Linked DNA regions of Schizosaccharomyces pombe. The protein of the gene in region 1 interacts with the protein of each later gene in a pairwise test. Each region holds a gene or a part of one and is shown in the gene's direction. Other genes may lie near its edges.

The links.
Region 2: the proteins of hhp1 (region 1) and ppc89 interact in a two-hybrid assay, tested with the Schizosaccharomyces pombe proteins (2 studies listed by BioGRID).

What each region holds. Positions count from the first base shown.
Region 1 is NC_003423.3:1,853,856-1,858,599, reverse strand, and holds hhp1 (serine/threonine protein kinase (CK1 family) Hhp1), read left to right. Parts: upstream 1-1,689; 5' UTR 1,690-1,791; coding exon 1,792-2,682; intron 2,683-2,804; coding exon 2,805-3,011; 3' UTR 3,012-3,927; downstream 3,928-4,744. Other genes in the region: mug176 (BRCT domain protein), read left to right, coding at 1-837; lvs1 (beige protein 1), read left to right, coding at 4,337-4,744. UniProt on the Schizosaccharomyces pombe protein: Involved in DNA repair. Has a probable role in repairing alkylated DNA and may regulate the activity of protein(s) involved in double strand break repair caused by gamma rays.
Region 2 is NC_003424.3:3,847,409-3,852,885, reverse strand, and holds ppc89 (protein Ppc89), read left to right. Parts: upstream 1-2,145; 5' UTR 2,146-2,401; coding exon 2,402-4,753; 3' UTR 4,754-4,928; downstream 4,929-5,477. UniProt on the Schizosaccharomyces pombe protein: Has a role in meiosis.

The sequences.
Region 1 (4,744 bases):
GATTTATGGAACCCAACGGTTCCCATGGCTTACCTTTCTCGATCTTTACAAGGCCTTACCATTTCAAAAATTAATGAAACAGAACAAAAATTCCCTTTGAGCTCTGTCCATGCTTACGTTGAAATCGGAGAAGGTATGTTTTCAATGGAAATCGTTACTGAACAATTGCGTCTATTGGGCGCAACTGTTCATGCGTCTTTACAAATGACCGAGGAAAATCCCGTTTCTCACGCAGTACTCTACGACTGCTCACAAGAAACTCTCAAGAAAATTAGTTCTGCTCAAGTCCCAATCGTTTGTGTATCTCCTAAATGGGTTTTGGCTTGTTACTCATCTAAGTATTTAGTCGACGAGGAAATGTACTTAGTTGATCCTCAAGATATACTGCAAACTAAATGTTTACAGACTGATGACTCGGAGTTGCTGAATCCTCTTGATCCTTTCACTGACACGCAAATGATTCAGGACCCTTCTGATGCCTTCTTTTTCGATACTCAAGCAGAAAATTTAGAACCATTCGTTAATGGGTCTCCTGATTCTCATTGTTTTAATGCCGACTCATTCTTGGATCAAACTTTGTCCGATGATTATGAGTTTGGTCTCATTACTTGCAGTGATTCTAATGAGTCATCTATGTCCAATGACGCTCAACGAGAAAATAATCCAGAAACCATTTCTCAAATATCGCTATCTCCAACGGCTGATCTATTTTCGTCTTTCAAAATTACGACGGATTTAGAGATGACTCATTTAGAGTCTGCCAAAAAGAAGTATCTAGCTTACAAACCGTTAATTGGCTCTCCACTAAAAAAGAAGGTTAGTCTTATAGATTTCTAAGTGCCTTGTCTTTCTATTTCATTACTCTCTTTCATTTACAAGTTTAATTCCGCACTGCTCATTGTACATATTGTTAGATCAGTGTTTTGCGTGTTTTTCCCCTTTCTTTTATCCTGCCCATTGTCAGTTTATTTTATTTTATTTTATTCTATTCGCTCAGTCGTCACAATCCTGACCCAAATTATTTATAATCTCAATGGAGAATTAGTCAACTCTTATTTAGAACAGAAAAATGCCTTGCATTTTTCGCTTTTCTTATGTAAAGAACTACAATATTAAATTTCCGAAAAAGGTTTTCTTATTGTTTTAAAATGTTCTTTCATTTTATTTTTTCGCACTCCAATATTCGGTTGGAGGTCTTTTTCGCTTCAACTGGAAAGACAGTGTATCTTACAGCTTTTATTTTCGTCTGAGAACCCGAATTTTCTCTATCTTTTTAGATCATTCGTTTACTGGGGCTCAAATATTATTAGATTTTGTATATAGATTACAAGGAAGAGTCTGTTATAAAGGACACATTTTATTAGCCTTTTATTCTTAGTGTTAATAAACCATACCTTACATTTTACATTTTTCAGTAAATGGTAATTGATAAAATAGAAACCAAGAAAAGCATCACGCTCCCATTCTAAAAATAGATATTGGATGTACGAATGTATGTAGGTATGTTTTATTTACATTCATCGTAAACTATCAATATTCGCAAATTCACTATCTATTATAATTTAATCGCATAGCGAATTTTTTTTGTATTATAATTTATTATCGTTATTTTGATAAAGCAATGCTAACTCTCGTTATGTTTACTTTAAGTTCTTTACTTCTACGTTACCTAACTTGCTCTACTTTTTCGAACCCCTACTTTTACCTCAACCACATCATTCAATTTCAATCTATAGTATATTGGAGAGAAAAAGCGAGTGCCTTTAGCCTTAAAAGCGTTATAATATTATTATGGCTTTGGACCTCCGGATTGGGAACAAGTATCGCATTGGTCGTAAAATTGGCAGTGGATCTTTCGGAGACATTTATCTTGGGACTAATGTCGTTTCTGGTGAAGAGGTCGCTATCAAGCTAGAATCAACTCGTGCTAAACACCCTCAATTGGAGTATGAATACAGAGTTTATCGCATTTTGTCAGGAGGGGTCGGAATCCCGTTTGTTCGTTGGTTCGGTGTAGAATGTGATTACAACGCTATGGTGATGGATTTATTGGGTCCTTCGTTGGAAGACTTGTTTAATTTTTGCAATCGAAAGTTTTCTTTGAAAACAGTTCTTCTCCTTGCGGACCAGCTCATTTCTCGAATTGAATTCATTCATTCAAAATCTTTTCTTCATCGTGATATTAAGCCTGATAACTTTTTAATGGGAATAGGTAAAAGAGGAAATCAAGTTAACATAATTGATTTCGGATTGGCTAAGAAGTATCGTGATCACAAAACTCACCTGCACATTCCTTATCGCGAGAACAAGAATCTTACAGGTACTGCACGCTATGCTAGCATCAATACTCATTTAGGTATTGAACAATCCCGCCGTGATGACCTCGAATCTTTAGGTTATGTGCTCGTCTACTTTTGTCGTGGTAGCCTGCCTTGGCAGGGATTGAAGGCTACCACGAAAAAGCAAAAGTATGAAAAGATTATGGAGAAGAAGATCTCTACGCCTACAGAGGTCTTATGTCGGGGATTCCCTCAGGAGTTCTCAATTTATCTCAATTACACGAGATCTTTACGTTTCGATGACAAACCTGATTACGCCTACCTTCGCAAGCTTTTCCGAGATCTTTTTTGTCGGCAATCTTATGAGTTTGACTATATGTTTGATTGGACCTTGAAGAGAAAGGTATGAGATATCTTGGTAATAGTGCTTTTTTTATTTTCTGGGTTTCCGAGTTATTGAAAACCAATGTAATATGATATTTTATGAAGTTTACATAGTCACATTTACTAACATTTAAATTGTAGACTCAACAAGACCAACAACATCAGCAGCAATTACAGCAACAACTGTCTGCAACTCCTCAAGCTATTAATCCGCCGCCAGAGAGGTCTTCATTTAGAAATTATCAAAAACAAAACTTTGATGAAAAAGGCGGAGACATTAATACAACCGTTCCTGTTATAAATGATCCATCTGCAACCGGAGCTCAATATATCAACAGACCTAATTGATTAGCCTTTCATATTATTATTATATAGCATGGGCACATTATTTTTATATTTTCTTCTCATCTGGAGTCTTCCAATACTTGCCTTTTATCCTCCAGACGTCCTTTAATTTTGTTGATAGCGCAGGGCTTTTTCCTTGGGATGGCGAAAGTTACTTTGCTTATAGTTTATTGAGGGTTCATAGCTTATTTGGCTGAAGATCTTGTGTTGACTTAAATTCTATGCTAACCTCATGATCATATCCTCATTATGGCAAGTTTTGGTGAAAAATTTTTTAATATTAGTACATTTGCTAATAATACATTTGGTATTTGTTTTTACTACCTGTGAATCTATTCATACATTATCATATATGTTTCGAGCCAGGAACAGAAAAAAGTGAGAGAATTTTCTGCAGAAATGATCATAATTTTATCTTCGCTTAACACGAATCCTGGTGACAGATTATGCGTGGTTTAAAGCCTTTTTTTTACGACGCCATAAGCAAATTGGTTACTTTTTTATGTGTGATGAGCCTTGGGGTTTAATCTAATTAGAAGGCATTGCATTCATATACTTTTAATAATATATTATCAGCTATTTGCTGCTTTTCTTTATAGATACCGTCTTTTCCAAGCTGAACTCATTTAATCAGCGTCGTTTAACCTTAGGATGCTTAAGATGCGTTTAAATTCAATGACTTAATGCTCGAGGGATGAATGGTTTGTTTTAGTTCGTGTTCTGGGTGCATGATCTCGTGCTTGACTGTTTTATTGAAGCGTTCATTTCATGAAGTGTCTTTCGATGTTGTTCACACTTCTGTTTGCTAAATATAATAAATATTTTGCTTTTCATTTTAGTTTGTAAACATACTTGAAAAAACTAGAAAGGTGTTGTTTGTAAGTTTTTGAATTATCAATAAGATGAATTTAGAATGATGACACCTACTTCAAAATCAACAAGCATAAATGAAATAGAAATAAATTGTCTTTACTTACTATCTATTTGGTGTAGTTCTCTTCTACAGCAAGTTTTCATAGTTCACTTCGTTTGGCAAGAAATCATTATCACCGCTATACTTCACCGCCAACCACTACGAACTATTATTGCCAGTTTCAATAACGATAAATTTAAGCAAGCATCAATTTTCATTAATTTCATCGATTATATATATTAATCGTTTTCTTTTTTAAAACCATTTCTCTCTGCTTCAACTCACATGACCTATTCATAATATACACTCACTTGACCAGAGTTTATCGAAATAAATACGAAACTTGTGCACCAGGGGCTAGGAACGAATATTTTTGTTAGGTTCTTTCTTCTATCTTTTATTCAAGTAAGCTGCTATGGACAGAAAGGCGAATGCCTATTCTAAAAGCGTTGAGTTGTTATCGAGGCTTGAGGGTTGTCCCTCAGAAAAAGTTCTGTTAGAAGAGTTACGAAAATTGAGGGGGTTCATTCGAAATGATATTCCCAGTAATTTTTTTCCACAACTCTTTATTACTGACAATGGCTTTGCAGCCATTAAGAAGGCTGTCACTAAGCTAAACTTTCAATCGTTACTAAGTCTTGATATTTTTGAATGCTGCTTGCAAATATTAGGAATTGCAACTTCTTATACTATCTTGCGTTCTTGGTTACTATCCAGAAAACATATTGAGGCATGGATTGAGCTCGCTATTCGAAGAATGTTTTATTCATTCTGTGCTATACAGGATGATTCCAATATTTCCATTTATGCAATAGGTACTTCT
Region 2 (5,477 bases), on another chromosome or scaffold:
ATATAGCTATTAAAGAACCTTACTTAGATTATATTTGCAATAACATATAATCTTTTAAATGAATACGAAATTCCCTTTTAAATATTAACATCATTATATTAAAACAAGGAAGTTTTATAGGTATATAGTACATATTGAACCGATATATCTTTTTATAGAATATAATTGAAGAGTTAAGGATTATACCGCTTATAGTAGAATAGAAATAGACCAGGAAAAAGCTTACAAATTAAACCTTTATTGGCTTATGCCATTTGTTCTAAATAAAAGGCTCTTTCTTAGCATGCACTTCATCAAAAGTATAAATTAGGTAAAGCATAAAAAAACTGATTGTTATCTTCAAGTTAGCTGTTGTGCTATGTCAATTTAGTTGCATAATACATAATTAAAAATACATATGCACGTTTTTGTGTTTTTAAATAAGTTTTATGCAAATTTACATCGACATTTAACATTTGGATAATTAATTCCAATTTTAGGCAAAGCGTAAATTAAAACCTATTCAGCTAATTCATTTATAGTATTTAATTTGCCAGTTAAATACCCCTTAACTTGCAATTTATACAAATAAATAAATAATAATATTATTATCTTTTAATATCGTAAAAGGTTGAAAAGTGCTGCTTTAATATTGTTTTAATAGACCAACGAATAGAAAAACACTCGATGATTGTAAGCAATCGAAATTATAGCCACAAAAATTTTAATGTAACAAATAATAATTTTCAAGTCTCTTGTTTTAACCCAATCCTTCTAAAGATTATTTTGTTCCTTAATACAATAGTGTGCATTTTTTATGTTTACAAAATAGCGCTTTGCAACGAGTATATTCGATTTCTCGCTAAGTGCTTTCTATATATACTAAGGTGTATGTCGACTGTATCTCTTCTCTCTTCAGCACATAAAATGAACTGCTGCAACTTTTACTCAAATTACAATATTTTGCTAGTATCAAGCCTTTTCTTCTTTTAAAAGAAAAATTTTCTTTTGTCTTAACTTCAGGAAGTTGTAATAGGTATGATATTTTATGGTATTTATTTAAAACAAAGTGATGTGAAAAAAATTCTTATCTACATTGCCTGAATCATATAGATGAAAAACTATCTTGTTTACTGATTGTTTTATTCTTTTATCATTTTCTTTATATTTAGAAGCCAGGAACTTAATCTTTACTAACCATTTACTAGGTTTACATAGTTTTTTTATAGGTCATTTTTAAATAGTAATCAACGGCTTTCCCTGCAGTGGTGTTAATTGTGTATCTAAATTTTATATGCTCCTTGTGTTTAGTAGTTTGATTTGTATAAAATCGTTGCTTGAAATTTCTTTCTACCTTTTTGCTTCCTTCATTACTGTTTTTTTAACGCGCCCATCCTGGTGTCAATAAAAAAATATATATGCCATGTTTGAGAGTAAAAGATAGTAAATACAGCTTCCTTAACCGTCCCTTTCGAGGTTCATAGACCCTTACACCAAATGAACTGAAAATCAAACTTTTGTATTATTCATCTACGATACTCATGCTCGACGAATCAATACTGTCAAAATTGTATACACTTACGAACAATTAATGAATATAAAAATCAACGATTTTGATATTTTCTGTCTAATTAATCGTTTAAAGTCGACGCGGATCTTTTCAAATATTTTTTGGCTTTATTTTTGTGCTAGCTAGAATTATACGGACTAAAATTAAGCATACAAAACTATAAACACTTTAATACTCCACATTCATACGAAAATCAGATTATTATAGATGCCAATAAACGTAACAAGGTGTGCAGGCATTGCAATCAAGTATCCTTCCAAACGGTTCATCTTGTGAATGATCCGGGATGGCTTTTCAGGTTACTCACAAGCTATCATCATACTTCACTTGAATGTGGAAGGATTAGTTTTTCGCACACCCAAAAGGTCCCTTTATATATTAGGATTGTATCGATAACCCTAACCCTGAAGACCAGCGACCTTGTGCCTATTTCCTTAACTATACTGCATTCGACCAAGAGTGTGCAATTTCAAATATCATTCTAATTCTCTCTTTTCCTTTTGTTTTTTTAAGGTACTGCAGAAAAAGTGCGATATTTTTCCAACCACTTTCATCACTACAGTATTTAGCTTGGTTATCAAGTGTTGCTCACCTTTGCTCATACTACCTTGATTATTTGGGACTAGCTGCTGGTTAGCATTGTTTATTTATCCCCCTCTTCGTGTTTTTAGCAAGGAAGTCGTGGTGGGCTCGATTTATCATTTTTCCAACCTCCACCATTAAAGCATTGTTGTGACAACAAACGAATTATAGTATATATTAAGGCAATATTGTCAGCCTAATAGCATTTTTTTCTAAAAAAAAAAAAAAAAAGTCAGTTTTTATTCACTTTATATTTATATGTAAGGTTGGATGCCTAGCCAATTTAACGATAACTTTGTTGCAACCGATGATGATGTTGGTACCATGGCTCGAGTTGGTATGGCCCTTGATCGTGAGCTAAATGGTGACAGTTTTCAGGACAATTTAAATTTTCAACCAAGATCTGGTAAGCGGGAGGATTTTGAACCCTTTTTTCAAGATACTCCGAATACCAAAAGCCTTAGTAAACATTTTCACGATTTTACCATGAATGCTTCTTTAGAAACGCTTCCAAGTGTAGAGAAGCCTAGAGGACGAAATATGAATGCATTTGAAGAAACTAGTTGGAATCGCTTTCGTAAGAATGGATCTTTATTTCCTTTATCGTCTCCACCAATTTCTGAACCGGATCTTCGCCCACAGGCACTCAACGAAACTCCTGATTATCGCAATAGATTTCTAGGTGCTTTTAAAAAGCAGGGTGTTTTGGATGATCATGGCAACCTGAAATTAGATGCATCCCCTTCGTTTCTTAAGAAGCCTGCAGAATATACTCCTTTAGCAAATCGTCAAAATCAAAATCTAGCATTTGATTCACCTACAGAGGCTCTGCCTCCCAAACCCACTACCCCATGGCGACGAAACGGCTTTCGCTCAAAGACTACACCAAACCTTAATTCAGGTAAGGAGACTCCTTCTTCTTACAAGGCCTCTGCTAGACTCATGGAGCAACTAGGCCTAAATCACAGTGAGCCAAGTGTCGATTTTAATAACCAAACATCCTACCGTTTGCCTAATCTGACTAATTTGTCTTCTTTAATTCGCGATGATACAATAGATGAAAACGGTAATGCTAAAGAACACGATCGTTTACCCGAGCTAAACACTATTCCCGTTGCTTCCACAGATGAACAACTTTTCAATGCTCACCAGTTGTTGGAGAAAAAATTTGAAATTTTGAAACGAGAGCGTAATGAATGCAACGCAAAAATTGACGAACTCCAAGACAAATTAGAACTTCTTACTGACGCCTATAACAGGGAGAAAAGACGTGCTAGGAGTTTAGAGGAACGAATGTCAAAGGAGATGCTTACAAAACTTGGTGAATCGAACGTTGACGATGGTATGGCTGCTTCTCGCTATGACACAGTCAAGCGAGAAAAAGAACGCTTGTCTGAACATTTGAAATCTCTACAAGAGCAATACGAACATATTCAATCTGTTTATAAGAACGTATTATTAGACCGAGAGAGTTATATTATGCGTCTGGGTAATAAGATCTCTGAGAATAATGAACTTTTGAATGAGAATCGAGTATTAAAAGAGAAACTTCAGACATATTTGGATAAGAAGGAATCTAATGTAACAAGCAAAATAAAGTCGACTGCGGAAAACAGTTCAAAACCCTTGTCCATGAATGAAGCAGACGAAAGGAAAGACGGGCTCAACAACTTATTATTTGAAAACAAATCCGGCGCAAACACTAAAGAAATGAGCAATGGAACGGAAACTGCCAAAGAAAATTGCTCTCCTCAACAAGACTCCACTTCACCGACTTCGGGATACCAAGACTTGGTGAAAGAATTGGCCAAAGAAATTGAAATGAGGAAGTCTCTGGAGCTTAAGCTGAAACTATCGCAATCAAACAAGGCTGGTCCTGTCAAGCATCGAAAGAGAAGACCCAAATCAAAAAGGCGTATTACTGGCAAAGTCGTATTCGATTCGCCGAATGTCGCGTCGGGGGTTGAGTCTGATGAAGGTAGTGAAGAGATATCTCTTGACTCAGAGTACTCTGATATCTTATCCGATGATGGTGATTTTGAAAAGGAGAAACAAGCAACGTTGCCGAGGCGAAGAAGCTCTTCTTCGATGAAAGGAAACAAATTGGCCGAGGATAGCTACCTTAATGAAGCAGGCTTTGATTGGAATCAAGGAACTTTTCATAACGGTTCAGAGTTTGGAACGACTGGAGTACCGGATGAGCCCAATGAAGAAGAATTACCGAAACATGTTCTTAAGCAGGTGGAACACATTATCAATGAAAGTGCAGCTCATGGAGTTGGCAAGTGCAATGCGTGTCATGCTCGTCAAGAAGACTTGATAAGAGGGGAGCAGAAGGTTTCGCATTCGAATTGTTTGTATGCTGATCAGACGTTAAGACCCAGTCAACCGCCCAGCGAGGCTCTTAAGACGGTAGTGAATCAATTAACGAATGAGTTGATGGAATTGAAAAAGCGTTATGAGAAACTTTCTGACCGCTATAATTCCCTTACACCGGGTTATCACAAGCATAAACGTCAAGAGATTAAGAATAAGCTAATTAAGTTGATTGAGTGTATGGAAAGCAAGTCGGATCAGATATATTTGCTCTACGACGTCAACGTTGGTAAGGATTTTAGCTAAAGAGAAGATACCGGCTGGCTCGGTGGATGAGAGGGAAGATAACACGGAGAATGAAAAGAGAAAATTCATTTTCTTGCATCGATAATTATTATTATTATTATTATTATTATTATTATTTTTTTTTTTTTTTGAAACATGAATTAGTGACAATATGATATATTAAAGCACGCATAAAGATGTATGAAATAGAAAAAGTAAAGAAGAAGTTCCAAGAGAGGGTAATATATAAAAAGTAATTACAACAAAACATCCTGTGGTCTATACAGTAGTAATACTGCAACTCAACTAATACACCTACATCTATAAGGTAATACCGTATGTACGAAAGTAACACACTTGTGTTCCATATGGAATATCTTGCTAGTGATTATTCGCTTAATGTTAGAGAAAGTTATTAGCATTTCAATTCATGACACTCGTAGAAAAGTTAACTAAACTAGTCAAATAGACAAATGAAAAGAAATGTTTACGAAAAATTACGCTACTGTCGATCATGCTACTCTGTCGATCAATCAATCAAAAGCCACCGAGAAGGCTGAATAGGATTGTTTTGAGTTATCGTGGATTGCCTTAAATATCAGATCTAACATACTATGCTCCTGACACTTTCCTTTTTCTACCCATCCTTTCTACCTTTTGTGCCTCTGTCCTCTGCCTCTGCCCCCTGTCCTCTCCCCTAGCGCTTCTACCCACTAGCCAGACATATATTCCCAGCCCTGTCTCT